Rattus norvegicus: one gene and its partners. The protein of the gene in region 1 interacts with the protein of each later gene in a pairwise test. Links are inferred from orthologs where the notes say so. Each region holds a gene or a part of one and is shown in the gene's direction. Other genes may lie near its edges. The genes, in order: Tsc22d1, Ccdc90b and Aplp1.

Region 1 (5,427 bases):
TTTTGCTTTTCTAGCCCTAAAAGGCATTCTTCACAAATTTCCTTTAAATTCCACTAAGACCAAGCCCTAACCTTTTACCTCTATGAGGGCCACAGCAAGGACACAAAGACAATGAATGGCTGGAGGGAAGCTCCACCTGTTGGTTAGTTAGCTGGCCGGGCAGGCTCGCTTCTTCCCACCAGCTAAGGAGGGACAGCAAGGACCACTCCCTTTTGTAAGAGCCTTCCCCTGGGGTGGGCTTGGGAGATTCACTGCAAACATCCGTGCCATCTGCTAGCAGCCTCGCCCCTGCCCGTCGAAGGGCGAAGGACCGCGTGGCAGCCACCACCGCTCTGCACAAAAGGTACCACTGCTGTGGGGGAAGGCACCCGACTCCATCGGGGCATCCCCGGAAGGGGCGAGGGCGGTGCGGGTCGAGGGGGAACCCAGGTACTGCTTGGAGAAGGAGGAGGGGAAGGAGGAGGAGGAGGAGGAAGGCTCCGCCACGCGCCGAGGAAGAAAGCCTGACTCATGTCGTGGCAGCAGCGGAGGGCTCCTGGGAGCTGCAACTCGTGATGCTGTTGCTGAGGAGAAAAGCCTTATTACCCATTCAGCAGGCCGGGGGGACACCGCCCCAGGGCGCGCACACCCGAGACCTATCGCTCCTCACCCGCCTCGCCGGGGTCCGCGTGGGAGACAGCAGCGGACACGCCTAACCTGCGCGCACGCGCGCGGCGTGGCCCCCACGCCCCACCCTAGCTTCTCCACGCGACCCGGATTCGCTCGCGCGCCCGAGTGCCCCACCCCCACCGCCCTCAGGCGTCGGCGGCTCCGCCGGCCTTCGGCAATTTCCGTGGAGACGGAGCCGAGAGCTCGGCACGGACCGAAGACAGGCCACCTCCCCTAGTCAGACCCAGCTTTATGTCTGCAGCGCCGGCGCGCACGCGCAGACGCCATCTTCCCTCTTCTCCTCCGCGACCCCTCCCCCCCGCCTTCTCCTCCTCCTCCTCCTCCTCCCCCTCCTCCTCCTCCTCCTTCTCTTCGGTCAGAGCTCGACCCTCCTCCTCTCGCGCTGGGGCGCTGGTCCCTCCTCTCTTGATGCCGCGAGAGACCAGGGGATACGGAGCAGCCCGAGAAGAGCACTAGTAACAACCACCACAGCCCCCTCCTCGCCCGACGCCCTCCCACTCCTCCGCCCCGCGCCGCCACCGACCAACCCCACCTCTCATTTCTTTGAACGGCGTCGGCTGCAGCCGCTGCACCAGCCCCGTCTGGCCGTCGCCGCCGCCGCGAAAAGGAGCCACCGCCGCCCGCGGCCCCCTCCCTCCCGGTCGCGGGAGCAGCTCGGTGCCGAGCCAGCCGGCGGGCTGAGAAGAGGACGCGAGCTCGCCCCTCCGCTCCCGCGCACGTCCCGCCACCCGCCGGAGCAGCCTGGGCGCCGGCGCCCTTCCTCTCAGAGGACGTGTGCCGAGCCGAGCGCCTGCCCCGAGAGAGGAAAATGCTCGGGCTCCATGGCTGCCAGTGATGGAGCGGTCCCTGGGCTCCCGCTGCCGCCGCCACCGCCGCCGCCGCGCCCCGGCCGCGCTCCGCGAGGACCCGGCGTCTCTGCGCGCCCGCCCTCGCCTCGTTGCTGGGCTCACCGTACCCGGCGCCCCGCCGCCGCCCCGCTCGCAGCCGCGCCGCCCGGGCCCCAGTCGCGGTCAGCCTTTCCTCCCGGAGCAGCCGTCGCGAGCCCAGGGGGTTTGAGAGGGGCCGCGGGCCGCGGGGGGAGGCCCGAGCGGGGCCGGCCGCGCCGGCAAGGGAGGTTGGAGCGACGCTGAGCTCAGGGCTCGCCGGCGGCCGCGGCGCCGGGGGTGGCGAGGGCCGGGCGACCGCTCGCTCCGCGCTGCCTCGGTGCAGGGCGAGCGGAGGGGCTTTGCAGCGGCCGCCGCCGCGGGAGGAGGGGGTTGAGCTGGCTCCGGAGTTGGCCAAAGAAGGTGGGCATTTCTCGCTTCTCCTCGCCTCCCCCGCCCCCTCCTGGGCTCCCCTCCCTCCCGCCCCGCACCCCACGTGAAGCGGAATATAAAGGGGGGTGTGTGACTGGAGGGGAAAGTGAATGGCGAAGGACTGAAGGGGTCCCCCTTCGGTTCCCCAGCCACCTGGTTCACCCGGTTCATCCTCCCTTCCCGAAGCTAGCCCTCGAAGGCACGAGCAGCCGGCGCCTTCGGCAGAGGAGGAGGAGGAGGGATCGCGTCGGGCGGAGCTTCAGGTCCTGTTCGCCTCTCCGGCTTCTCCATACAAAGATTACGGTGCAGAAGGAAATTGCACTCGCCTCCTCCGCCCCCCGGTACCCAGCACAATGCACCAGCCGCCAGAGTCCACCGCCGCGGCGGCCGCTGCTGCAGACATTAGTGCTAGGAAGATGGCGCACCCGGCAATGTTCCCTCGAAGGGGCAGCGGTGGTGGCAGCGCCTCTGCTCTCAGTGCAGCAGGTACCGGCGTCAGTGGTGCTGCTCCATCTTCTGAAGATTTTCCTCCTCCTTCTTCGCTGCTCCAGCCGCCGCCTCCTGCTGCATCTTCCACACAGGGACCACAGCCTCCGCCTCCACAAAGCCTGAACCTCCTTTCACAGGCTCAGCTGCAGGGACAGCCTCTTGCGCCAGGCGGAACTCAGATGAAAAAGAAAAGTGGCTTCCAGATAACTAGCGTTACTCCGGCTCAGATCTCTGCCAGCATCAGCTCGAACAACAGCATAGCAGAGGACACCGAGAGCTATGATGACCTGGATGAGTCGCACACGGAAGATCTCTCTTCTTCCGAGATCCTTGATGTCTCCCTTTCCAGGGCCACTGACTTAGGTGAGCCTGAACGCAGTTCCTCCGAGGAGACTCTGAATAACTTCCAGGAAGCTGAGACACCTGGGGCAGTCTCTCCTAACCAGCCCCACCTTCCTCAGCCTCATTTGCCTCACCTTCCACAACAGAACGTTGTGATCAATGGGAACGCTCATCCACACCACCTCCATCACCACCATCACATTCATCATGGGCACCACCTTCACCACGGACACCACCATTCATCACATGCTGCTGTGGCCAGTACATCCGTTCCTGGAGGGCCACCACCCACGAGCCCCGTGTCCAGGAAACTCTCTACAGCTGGAAGTTCTGACGGTGGTGTGCCAGTCCCACCTACTTCTGCTGTATCATCGGCTGGCTTACCTGCCTCAGTGATGACGAGCATCCGTGCTCCAAGCACTCCAGGCAGCATAGGTGTAAATTCAGTTACCGGCACGAATGCAACGAATAATGTTAACATTGCTGCTGTGGGTGGTTTCAGTCCCGGTGTGGCGAACAGCGTGCATCCCAATGCTGTTAGTATAAGTGGTGGGCCTGGAGTTACCAGCGGTGTTAATGTGAATGTCTTGAGTGGCATGGGCAACGGTACCATTTCTTCTCCTGTCCTTAACGCAGCTGCAGGTATCACGGTGGGAGTGGTTTCAAGTCAGCAGCAGCAGCCGCAGCAGCCGCCGCCAACAGTTAACACATCAAGGTTCAGAGTTGTGAAGTTAGACTCTACTTCTGAACCCTTTAAAAAAGGCAGATGGACTTGCACTGAATTCTATGAGAGAGAAAATGCTGTGCCAGGTCCAGAAGGCGTGGCCATAAATAAAGTGGTGGAGACCGTGAAGCAAACCCCCACGGAAGCGTCCTCTTCGGAGAGGGAGAGCACTAGTGGGAGTTCCGTGAGCAGTAGTGTCAGCACACTGAGTCACTACACAGAGAGTGTGGGAAGCGGAGAGATGGGAGCCCCTACTGTGGTGGTGCAGCAGCAGCAGCCGCTACCACCAGCACCACCAGGTCTTCAAGGCGTGGCCCTCCAACAGCTAGATTTCAGTAGCCCTGGTCCACAGAGTATTTCTCAGTCACAGATGTCACAGGTACAACTACAGCCTCAAGAATTGAGCTTTCAGCAGAAGCCAAATCTTCAACCTGTTCCTCTGCAAGCCACTATGAGCGCAGCAACTGGTATCCAGCCTTCACCTGTCAACGTGGTGGGTGTAACGTCAGCTGTAGGTCAACAGCCTTCCATTTCCAGTCTGGCTCAGCCCCAGCTGCCGTATCCTCAGCCAGCTCCTCCCGTGCAAACTCCTCTTCCAGGGGCACCACCCCAGCAGTTACAATATGGGCAACAGCAACCAATGGTTCCTACGCAGATAGCCCCAGGCCATGGCCAGCCAGCAACTCAAAACCCTCCTTCAGAGTACGCACAGCAGCAGCCAATATTCCAAGCGGCAATGTCCTCTGGACAGTCCAGTTCCACAGGCACAGGAGCGTCAGTGATTCCCGTGGCTCAGCCACAAGGGATCCAGCTGCCAGTGCAGCCCACAGCAGTACAAGCACAACCTGCAGGGGCGACTGGGCAGCCCATTGGCCAGGCTCCAACAGCAGTGTCTACTGTACCAGCTGGTGGTCAGATTGCAAGTATCGGTCAGCAGGCAAACATACCCACTGCAGTACAGCCACCCTCTACCCAAGTTACACCTTCAGTTGTTCAGCAAGGTGCTCCTCCATCTTCACAAGTAGTCCTACCTGCTCCAACTGGGATCATTCATCAGGGCGTTCAAACCAGTGCTCCAAGCCTTCCTCAGCAATTGGTTATTGCACCCCAGAGTACCATGGTAGCGGTGCCTCCCCAGACACAGGGAGTGGAAGCAGTGGCTCATGGAGTTGTTTCCCACCAGTTGCCCACAGGTAGTCCTTTGCCCTCTGCTAGCACCATTTCTGTTACAAGTCAGGTTAGTTCAGCTGGTCCTTCTGGAATGTCTTCTGTCCCAACAAACTTAGTTCCACCACAGAATATAGCACAACCCCCAGCCACCCAAAATGGCAGTTTGGTTCAAAGTGTTAGTCAATCTCCATTGATAGCCACTAACATAAATTTGCCTTTGGCACAACAGATACCGCTAAGTTCTACTCAGTTCTCTACACAATCATTAGCTCAGGCAATTGGAAGCCAAATGGAAGACACCAGGCGTCCAGCGGAGCCCTCCTCAGGCGGCTTACCTCAGACTCTCAGTGGTGACAGTGGGGGAGTGTCAGCAGTCTCAGATGGGAGTAGCAGCAGCCTAGCAGCCTCTGCTTCTCTCTTCCCGTTGAAGGTGCTACCGCTGACAACACCCCTGGTGGATGGCGAGGACGAGAGGTAAGATCATGTGCTTCTGCAGGCATCGGGCAGTTCAAAGTTGATCTCTTTAGCAGCAGTACGTGTGGGTGCACTTAGTCCATATGTATATATATGCCTTTCCATTTGCATGTGAGAAGTGCATATTCATGGTAAGTTTTCCAGGGTAAGAATCTTACAGAATGGTTTCAGAGTGGTTGGGAGGCAGACTAGGTTATGAACATAATGTTCACGATAGTTATAAAAGTGTAAGTGTATATTACAAATAGACGGGGCTACCAGGTA
Region 2 (5,264 bases), on another chromosome or scaffold:
ACAAAAAGGTTAAAATCACACAAGCAGGAGGTGGTAGAGCTGGGATAAGAACATAGATTGTAGGGGCTGGAGATGGCTCAGTGGTTAAGAACACTGGCTTCTCTTTCAGAGAAAGATTCAACTTTCAGAGAAAGAGCAACCACATGATGCTCACAGCTATCTATAACTCCAGTTCCAGGGGATCCGTCACCCCTATGCACACATCCACACACGCAGGCAGAACACCAATGCACATGTAAGAATAAATACATTTAAAGGATTCTAATCCAAGCGTGCTATGGAATCCCAGCACTCAGGACTGCAGTGAGTTTGAAGCCAAACCTGGCAAGTATGCAATGTATCCTTTCTCAAAGAACCCAGACTGGAAACCCAGTACTGAGAAGTCCTGTTTATATGCTTAATAACCCTATAAGAAGTCATTAGTAAGTAAACCCCAGCTTTCTGATTTAGCCTCATCCTTTTCTTAAAAGTTCTCTTGCTCAGGATTTAGTAAGGAAGAATCACCTGTGCTCTTTGAAGAACCCATTTTCTTTGACTCCTTGGCCAGAGAAAGTAGATAAACAAGGAAATGAGCAAATTCACATCAACCCATTTCTGAGCTTTGTCCCCTGTGCATGCAAAGTTACCCCCCAGCTTGGTACCAATTTGGTTGGTATTTATGGCAGAATATATTTAAAAGTTGTCTTTTTTATGTTTGAAAGGTTAATAATATTCCAAAGACTTTACATACAAAAGTGTTAGTTCTGGGACTAAAACGTTTGCTTCTTAGGTTATCATATATAGTTAGGTTTTGAATACCCTAAGAGATTTTTAGTAGACTGTGTCCAATATTGAATGATTCAAGAAAATTATTTCCCAATATGAAATTGGAGGAATGTTTTGTCACTTGGCAGTACTCATTACTACTAAGACTTTTTTAAATGCACCATTAGCACACAGTTTTAGGTTTTAATATAAATGTTTTTGTCCATAATATATAGGGATAAAACCTTAATTCTTTGCTTTTTCTGATTTGCTACAGGATATGCAAACTAAAAGTATTATTTCAGAGACCAGTAATAAAATTGACACTGAAATCGCTTCCTTAAAAACACTGATGGAGTCGAGCAAACTTGAGACAATTCGTTATCTTGCAGGTAAGGCTGTCTGTCGGAGTGAATGTTTGGATCTATTGGTTCCTACTCTCAGAATAACCATGCCAGGACAGAGATAAAAAGGAGCTAGAAATTCTCCTTCGTTGCTTGGTACCCTGTTTTCCTTGAAGAAGGTACCAGTTTCAAGATTGGAGTAGCAAGCAGCTGTGCAGTTTTACTGATAGAAAAAGGAGTCTGGTTATCAAGAAGATAAATAAACCCAAGAACAATATGGTAAAATTAATTGTGTAAATTCCACAATGAAAAATGTCATTTTATTGGAAAGGTTTGAAAGGATTAGAAAGATCACAAAAGTAGATATGGGCTGTTAAAAAACATAGCAAAAGGAGAGCAGTGGAGGGTAAGGAAACTTCTTACCTTGGACCAAGTGAGCACATAGACACTGTCCCGTACTTAGATTGGCTCACACTGAGCTCCACAACTTCAGTCTGACCTAAGATTTTTATGGCTCATGTGACAGGAAGAATGTATTTATTAAATATTACTTGTCTAAAGCAGTATGTTTTAATTTAAATTCAAGAGCAATGAAAATCCCCTCACCCTCTTAATTTAGTATTAGTTTATATGTTGTCTTCTGTATACAGGTAAGATACAGTTATAAAAAAGATTTTTCCGTTTTAGTTAACTCCTTGTGTTAAATGTAACTAAGTGTTAGAGGTGTACTTAAACATTAAGTGTTTAACATCTTTTTATTACTAACCATAGTATTTTGAGGTATCAACATGCGAACTTCCCCAGCAGTGTTGCTTTCATTTCTTCATCCTTAAGAGCAGTACTACTGAACATATATGTGCATGTTCACTAAATACACACATTCTATACCCATGTTGCTGTACACATTTAAAATTTGGAGTAACACCAGGCATGGTGGCACATGCCTTTAATCCCAGCACTTGGGAGGCAGAAACAAAACAAAAACCTGGGGGTCAAAAGATATACCTATTTTAAATGTGTGTATCAACAAATGACTATATAAATAAAATTCCTCATCATAGTGGTTTTCTGGCCACCCACTATTTGTGATGTGGCACGTTAGAAGATGAATGTGTCTCAGTCCTCAACTGATGTATATCCCCTTATTTTTTAATTTAAGGGCTCTATTTTTATTTCTAACATTAGGTTCATGTTTAAAATTCAGATTTAAAAAAAAAATCTAAAGTTAGGCTTTGAAAACCCCTACATTGACAAAGTCTGTAGAACCAAAGGTCTTGAGTTCAACTGTAATGCTAAAGGAAATTCTAAAACAGGCATTTGGAATGTTCATTCTCTTCCACAATCAGTCTCAAAGCAACAAAGAAATAGTTTCAGATTCTATCTGGTATTTCCCTATATTCTCCTGAGTATTTACCTAAAGAATACCACAGTTAAAAACAAACAAAATACTGCTGGGTACTTTTAATCCCAGCACTCAGGAAGCAGAGACAGGCAGATCTCTGAGTTCAAGGCCAGCTTGGTCTACAGAGTGAATTCCCAGTCAGGGCTACACAGAGGGATCCTGTGGTAGGGGTAGGGATAACACCACAAAATACTTTTTTACCCTCCAAATTGAAGATGGTGGCATTTTCCAGAAAACTTTCTTTTAGCAGTTCATAGATATACAAGGCAAATCTAATAGACTTAGTGGTAATAGCAAAAGAAATACACAAGTTAGCAATTGTTTTAAAAAAGATTTTGCTGGGTCTAGAGAGAAGGCTTAATGGCTGAGAGCACTGGTTGTTGTTCTAAAGGACCAAGGTTTGATTCTCAGCACCCATATGGAGACTCACAACCATCTGTGACTCCAGGATCCTGTCCCCTCTTCTGGCTTCCACAGGTACCTGACATACACATGGTGAACTGACATAAATGTAGGTATAACACCCATACACATAAAAATAGACTTTCTTAAGTCATCCTTTTGTTTTGCTGAGCATTTGGAACCAGTAATATTGAAGCATCTTCTCCTTCCTCCTTTAAGTATATTTTAGTACTGTTGTTGCCAGTGAGCAGTTTAGGAAGCCACAGTTACACATTTTTAAATAAGTAGGAAGATAAAGCATATATGGATCTATTTGTTCTAGAATACCTGAGATGTTGTTATAAGACAGTAAGATTCCCTTTCTTAAAGATTTACAAACAGCAGACATGGTAGGGTTTGGCTGTCAATTTGCCCAAACCTTCTAGGCTTAGTCTCCCAAGTGTCTGGAAGTATGGGTACATGTCAAAACCTCAACTGTGGAAACACCTCATACGGTCAGTCTGTAGACAAGGCTGTGGGGAATTGTCTTAATGACTGAGAGAAGAACTCAGTCTGATGTGGGTGGCACTACCTCTAGATAGGCTGAAAACAGGCTGAGTGAGACAGTCAGCAACACTGGTTTTGCTTCAGTTCCTTCTCTGGTTCCTGCCTTAAGTTCCTGCCCTGTCTTCCTGCAGTGATTGGGTGTGACTGAGAGTTGTTGAACCCTTTCCTCCCCAAGCTGTTTTGCTCATGGTGTTTATCACAACAACAGAACTCCTAAGACCTTGTGTTAGTAACTTTGAAGCACTGCTTACATTTTCTGACATGACATTTATATTTTTTTAATTATTTTTGTTTTGATCTCTAAAATATAGAAAGCTATTGATGTAACTATTGCCTTTACAAATGCCTTTTATTCTTAGTTTAATTTTCTTGGGAAAAAGAACATGAGATAAAAGTTTGATTTTCTGTTTCTGTTCATTTTTTTTTTTATTGTCTGAAATAATTAAGCTATGGCTTGTAACATAGTTTGTTTCTTTTCACAGCCTCGGTGTTCACTTGCTTGGCGATAGCACTGGGGTTTTATAGGTTCTGGAAGGAGAACTGACCCTCCTGTTGCTGCTGCTGGTCACTCCATAGAATGTACTTACTACAAACTCTTCAAAGAACTTGTAGACTAAATGGAGTGTTTTGGTATTTTATTTTTATGTTGTACATCTTTATGTTGAAAAGCTCTAACTCAAAGCCTGGCTTGAGATAGAAGTGCACTTGGTCCTTATCCTCTGACAACTATAGCAATAAAAAGTTTTGCATTTGACCTTTGTAAGTGAAATAGGATTTGTTATCAGATTACATTCTTGTAAACAGTTCTGTAGTCTATACACTTGCTGGATTTTATTTTCTTGGTTATTATTGCAATTAGATTTTTATATAAAATAAAATACTATAACAAAGTTGGTTGATTTTTCAAAGTGACTTCCTATGTAAGTGGAGTTTTTTTTGTAGTGAATAATAAGTTTAAAATAATGTGAATCCCATTTAAATGTGTTATACTTAAAATGAAATGTATAGTTTTTCTGATTACATGTATCTTTTTAATTTTTCATATGTGTAGAATTTGAGGGGTAGATTTTGTGGTGGTTTGTTTGTTTGCTACCAAGGACTGAACCTAAAACTTAGTGTATGTTGGCTGATTAGGTGTCTGCCAACCACCCTCTGTTCCCCAGAAATTATCCTCACCTCCTGAATTATGTCACATTACCCATCTATATGAAACAGACTTTCCCAATGACTCATTTAAATTCAAACATCTCTTGGGTTGTGTGTGTATGTCTGTGTGTGTGTACCATAATACATAGTACCATCTCATAGTTGGGGATTGAAACCTCCTAACCAGAACTAAAAAAAGGTTATTCACATTTGTTTTGCTTGCCTCCTTTTGTTGTTATCTAGTCTTCACATTTCCCTCTTCCTTTTTTCCTCTTTGTTTGTGTATGTGTATGAGTTACATATGTATTCATATGGTGGCCAAACATCACCTTTGGGTGTCTTCCTCATTCATTCTGTATCTTACTTTTTGAAACAGAGTCTCTCCTCTCCCCCCTCCTCCAACCCACCTGTTTCTGTCCCCTTTTCTTCCCCTTCCCCTTTTCACTCCCCAGACTTGAGGCTTACCCTTTCAGCTAACTTGACAAACCTCAGGAATCTATCTGTTCTGCCCCCAGCACTGGATTACAGACACAGGCTGTCTGCCCATGTTTACAGGAGCGCTAGAGAGGCAAATACAGTGTTCTTTATACACTGAGCCATCTCTCCAGATCTCTTACATCTGAGTTCTCTATCCAGATTGACAAACCAAGAATCACCTTGACCCTCCCAAGTGCTAGACA
Region 3 (4,705 bases), on another chromosome or scaffold:
GTTGGGAGCCACCATGTGGTTGCTGGGAATTAAACCTGGGTCCTCTGGAAGAACAGCAAGTGCTCTTAACTGCTGAGCCATCCCTCCAGGCCCCAGATTCTTCTCTTGACCCTCATTTTCTTTAATTTAATTTTTTTTTTTCAGAGCTGGGGACCGAACCCAGGGCCTTGCGCTTGCTAGGCAAGCGCTCTACCGCTGAGCTAAATCCCCAACCCCGACCCTCATTTTCAGTTTAGAACCCTTCACTATGCCTGGAACTTCCCCCTTGTGTCCCCAAACCCTTTCCAGTCCCTCCATCCTTAGCCCCCAGTTTCTTGATGTGGGAACACTGCCCCCAAAGCTTGCCCACACACACACATTCAAACGTGGGCATGAGTCCACACCTCTCATACCATGCTTTTTTTTTTTTTTTTTTTTTTTTTGGTTCTTTTTTTCGGAGCTGGGGACCGAACCCAGGGCCTTGCGCTTCCTAGGCAAGCGCTCTACCACTGAGCTAAATCCCCAGCCCCAATACCATGCTTTTGACCCCCCTTCCAGTCCCTTGGAATCCTACTTCCTGTCTCTCAGATTCCTGTTTCCTCTCCCTTGGATTTTACTTCTCTTCCCAGAATCCTTTCCCTTGAGCCTGGAGCTTGTCCTTCAACCTTCCTCCCTAGCCCCGCTTGCTTTCCCTGGAGCCCCTGCTGTATGCACTCAGATTCTACTTCTGGTTTCTTGGACATTCTCTTTTGATCCACAGATGCTCTCCCCTGTACTTCTGAATAGCAAGCCTTGCCCATAAGCCATTACGACTCCTTTATGAATCCTCTAGACCGATTCCCATCTCCCCACAACCCCACATGTGTTCCTCCAGCCCTCTTGCTTTCTCCCTCTGACCCATGAGTCTTCTCCTCCATTGGTGTGTTCTCTCTCTCTCTCTCTCTCTCTCTCTCTCTCTCTCTCTCTCTCTCCTGTTTTTGCTTTTGGAGAGAGGGTCTCACTATATAATAGCCCTGTTTCCTTGGCCTGGAGCTTGCTACGTAGACCAGACTGTCCTTGAACTCACAGAGATCTATCTGCCTTTACTTCCCAAACGCTACTATTAAAGGCATGCACCACCACGCCCAGTTCTAAACCATATTCTTTGTATCCTCCTGTCTTCTTGCCTCCGGTACTGTTTTCCTCTGTCCAAGCCTTAAACTTCTGGTCTTATACACATCTCTTCCTTCTCTCTGGATCCTGCTTCTCCTGCCTCAGTTTCCTTCCTCTGTGGTTGGGTGTCTGACCCTTGTGCCTTACTCCCTGTCCATGCTCCATGGTCTATTTCCATGGTGCCTGTTGAACTCCTTTTCATCTCATTCTTCTCCAGCCCGCACTGCCTGCTTCATCCCTCGTACTCACTCCCCACAGGTCCAGACCCACCTTCAGGTGGTTCAAGAACGAATGAATCAGAGCCTGGGGCTGCTCGACCAGAACCCTCACCTGGCTCAGGAGCTGCGGCCACAGATCCGTGAGTGCCCGTTACCTGTGTCCTGAACTTCAGTTCTCCGAGGGTGGACTTTGACTCCCAACCCTCAATTTCCCAGTCTTCATTTAAATCACCGTACAACTCGGTAGTTCAGAGTAAGGGCCAGGTTTTTTGTTTTTATCCAATTAATTTGAATCAGTGTCCTCTGATCTGGATTTGTTTCTTTTGGTGGTATGGCTAGTAATCTATTAGTTGTACAGATTGATTTTAATCATGGCTTGTTTTTGTTCTTGTTGTTTGTTTTGAGACAGGGTCTTACTTTGTAACACTGACTGGTCTGAAACTCACTATGTTAGACCAGGCTAACCTTGCACTTTGAGCAATCCTTCTGCCTCCGCCTTCCAAGTGCTTGTGCCCCATCACCTGGCTAGATGATTTTTTTTATGGCATCAGGGATGGAATCAGGACTGTGAGCCCTGATAGGCAAGTGCCTCACCATCCCACATCCCCAGCCTTTGGCTTTTTTTTTTTTCCGGAGCTGGGGTCCGAACCCGGGGCCTTGAAGCTTGCTAGGCAAGCGCTCTACCACTGAGCTAAATCCCCAACCCCCAGCCTTTGGCTTTTTAAGACCAGGTTTTGTTCTGTAACTGAGGCTGGCCTGGAACCATGTAGCTCAGACCAGCCCTTAAATTCACAGTCCTCCTGCCTCTGTTTCCCCAGTGTCAGGATACAGCCATACATTGGCCCTACCCTCTTCAAAAAAATTGTGTAGTGTCAAGTGTGGTGGTACACACACTTCAATCCCAGCACTTGGAAGGTGGAGGCAGGCCGATCTCTGAGTTTGAGGCTAGCCTGCTCTCCAGAGCCAGTTTCAGAACACACAGAGGAAACCCTGTCTCAAAAGAGAAGAAAATTGGGTAGTCCTGGGGACTAAACCCAGGACCTTTTATATGCTTGGCGTGTACACCACTGAGCTACAACCCTGGGTTATTGAGTCTAGGTTCTATTGGTTAGAACAAGTCCCAAGTTAAATCTGGATTCAACAGAGGGAGCCTACACAAGAGAGACAAGACCAGGAAGTATCAGCCTGCACAGTCCCAGGCTACTGTGATTTCCTTCCAGACAGTCCATGCCTCGGTCCAAACCTACTTGAAGAGAGGATACAGCAGATCCAGCCTCCATCCTTCCTGCTAGAGCACCTTGCATGCTTCTGCCGTCTCTCTAATCTCCTGTCCGTTCCGCTGTGAGGGTGCCCTGCCCTTGCCCTGCTGTGACCGTCATACACTCACTGCCATAGTCATCTTTCTGTGTGTCCCCTCAGAGGAGCTTCTCCATGCGGAACACTTGGGACCTAGTGAACTGGAAGCCTCTGTGCCCGGGAGCAGCAGTGAGGACAAAGGTAGCCTTCAGCCTCCTGAATCCAAGGATGGTGAGCGAATACAGAGTCCCTCCCACCTTTGAGCGTCAAGCCTCTTCCCCTTGCAATGCCAGATTCCTTGCCTTAAAGGAAGAAGCTGCTGGGGAGCCCAGGACTTTGTGCATGCTGGCAAAGAGAAGAGAGTTCTTCCACTCAGCACTCAGCGCTAGCCTTAGCTACCCCCTCCCCTTTTATTTTTTTTAGACAGTCTAAGTAGCCCAGGCAGACCTTGAACTCAATATCTGGAGTAGCTCAGATCACAGGCATGTGTCACTAGGCCTAACTCAGTCCTTAGATTGTTAGGACAGGGTCCCACTCTATAGCTCAGGCTAGACTAGAACTCACTATTTAGCCTCGGGTGGCCTCAGACTCGTGATCTTCTTGTGTAAGCTTTCTAAGTGCTGAGTTCATAGACTGTGTAGTACCATAGCCAGCATACAGCCTTCTTTCCAATTCTCTAAGGTCTGGGGGTATCTGTGCCACCACAGCAGGTGGGAAGGAATAAGGAAGGATATCTGGGGGGTATTGGGCCTCTGTGGGGTCGTTGGCCCTGGTGGGGTTCTCTACTCTTTCTTTCTCTTCACTGTTTCACCTTTCATCTTGTCTCCTGTGCTAGCAGATGCCCCAGTGACCCTTCCAAAAGGTAAGTGTCACACGGCATAGACCCCGACCACCAAATACCACTGAACCCTAAACCATGAGGGGAAAGGGCTGCATGCCGCAGGAAGCCCATGCCGCCTGAGTGGAATCCAGCGCCCTTTCTGATGTGACTTGGGGTGGGGTAGGGTCCACAGATCAAGAGTCTTCCTCCTCTGGGAGAGAGAAGCTAACCCCACTGGAGCAATATGAGCAAAAGGTGAGTGGGTGTCTGGACCCTGGGTGGAGGGAAGGTTCTGGAGGCTTGGATTCCTCAGCTTCGGGAAGGAGCTTGCTGGGACATGGACTTAGTGTTGTTGGACTGGGAGGTACCCTTCTAGGCCCCGGGGTCTGTGACATCTCCTGACATCTCCTGCTTCCCAGGTGAATGCATCTGCCCCAAGGGGGTTTCCCTTCCACTCATCAGATATTCAGCGGGATGAACTGGTAAGAAGAGGCAGATCCTGGGGGCGAGGTCAGAGGTCAGCGTCTAGGCCGTGACCTCCAAAGCCACAGTGGATCCTGGTGAGCCTCAAAGAAACTCTTGGTTCCGCCTCCTTTCTCCACAGGCACCAGCTGGGACTGGAGTGTCCCGAGAGGCCTTGTCAGGTCTGCTGATCATGGGAGCTGGAGGAGGCTCCCTCATTGTCCTATCCTTGCTGCTTCTGCGCAAGAAGAAACCCTATGGCACTATCAGCCATGGAGTGGTGGAGGTGAGGGGCAGACATCGCGGTGGGGGCGGAGTTAAAAGCAGCTCTGCTCCCACGCGCTGAGCCCTTCCCTCGGCCCTGTTGCAGGTGGACCCCATGCTGACCCTGGAGGAGCAGCAGCTCCGGGAACTTCAGAGGCATGGCTATGAGAACCCCACCTACCGCTTCCTGGAAGAACGACCTTGACCCCAACCCTAGCTGCCTTCAGCTGAACCCTACTGCCCTTCTTCCGGTCCCCTAATCCCAACTCCCAGCTTCCGGTGGGGGAGGGAGATCTTGACAAATTCATTCCAAATTCCACCCCCTTAGAAATTCCCAGTTCCTGCCCCACCAGGGACCTTCTCACCTTAATTTATTTTACGTTAATTTATTGCTCCTTAAGGTGACCACCATCTGGGTCCCAGTGTATGTCACCCCCTGGAATTCACCGTCCCACGTTTCTTCACTAACATCCCAATAAAGTCCTCTTCCCCACCCGGCCATCCCGTGTTTCTG

What was found.
Region 2: the proteins of Tsc22d1 (region 1) and Ccdc90b interact in a two-hybrid assay, tested with the Homo sapiens proteins (2 studies listed by BioGRID and IntAct). The link is inferred for Rattus norvegicus from reciprocal best matches to the Homo sapiens genes TSC22D1 and CCDC90B.
Region 3: the proteins of Tsc22d1 (region 1) and Aplp1 interact in a two-hybrid assay, tested with the Homo sapiens proteins (2 studies listed by BioGRID and IntAct). The link is inferred for Rattus norvegicus from reciprocal best matches to the Homo sapiens genes TSC22D1 and APLP1.

Annotation. Positions count from the first base shown.
Region 1 is NC_086033.1:58,157,798-58,163,224, forward strand, and holds the start of Tsc22d1 (TSC22 domain family protein 1), read left to right. Parts: upstream 1-1,980; 5' UTR 1,981-2,317; coding exon 2,318-5,163; intron 5,164-5,427. UniProt on the Homo sapiens protein: Transcriptional repressor. Acts on the C-type natriuretic peptide (CNP) promoter. Acts to promote CASP3-mediated apoptosis.
Region 2 is NC_086019.1:156,054,423-156,059,686, forward strand, and holds the end of Ccdc90b (coiled-coil domain-containing protein 90B, mitochondrial precursor), read left to right. Parts: intron 1-1,021; coding exon 1,022-1,136; intron 1,137-3,920; coding exon 3,921-3,982; 3' UTR 3,983-4,328; downstream 4,329-5,264.
Region 3 is NC_086019.1:94,824,317-94,829,021, reverse strand, and holds the end of Aplp1 (amyloid beta precursor like protein 1 isoform 1 precursor), read left to right. Parts: intron 1-1,389; coding exon 1,390-1,489; intron 1,490-2,768; coding exon 2,769-2,876; intron 2,877-3,480; coding exon of another isoform or gene 3,481-3,483; coding exon 3,484-3,507; intron 3,508-3,649; coding exon 3,650-3,720; intron 3,721-3,884; coding exon 3,885-3,947; intron 3,948-4,069; coding exon 4,070-4,213; intron 4,214-4,295; exon of another isoform or gene 4,296-4,297; coding exon 4,298-4,396; 3' UTR 4,397-4,692; downstream 4,693-4,705. UniProt on the Homo sapiens protein: May play a role in postsynaptic function. The C-terminal gamma-secretase processed fragment, ALID1, activates transcription activation through APBB1 (Fe65) binding. Couples to JIP signal transduction through C-terminal binding.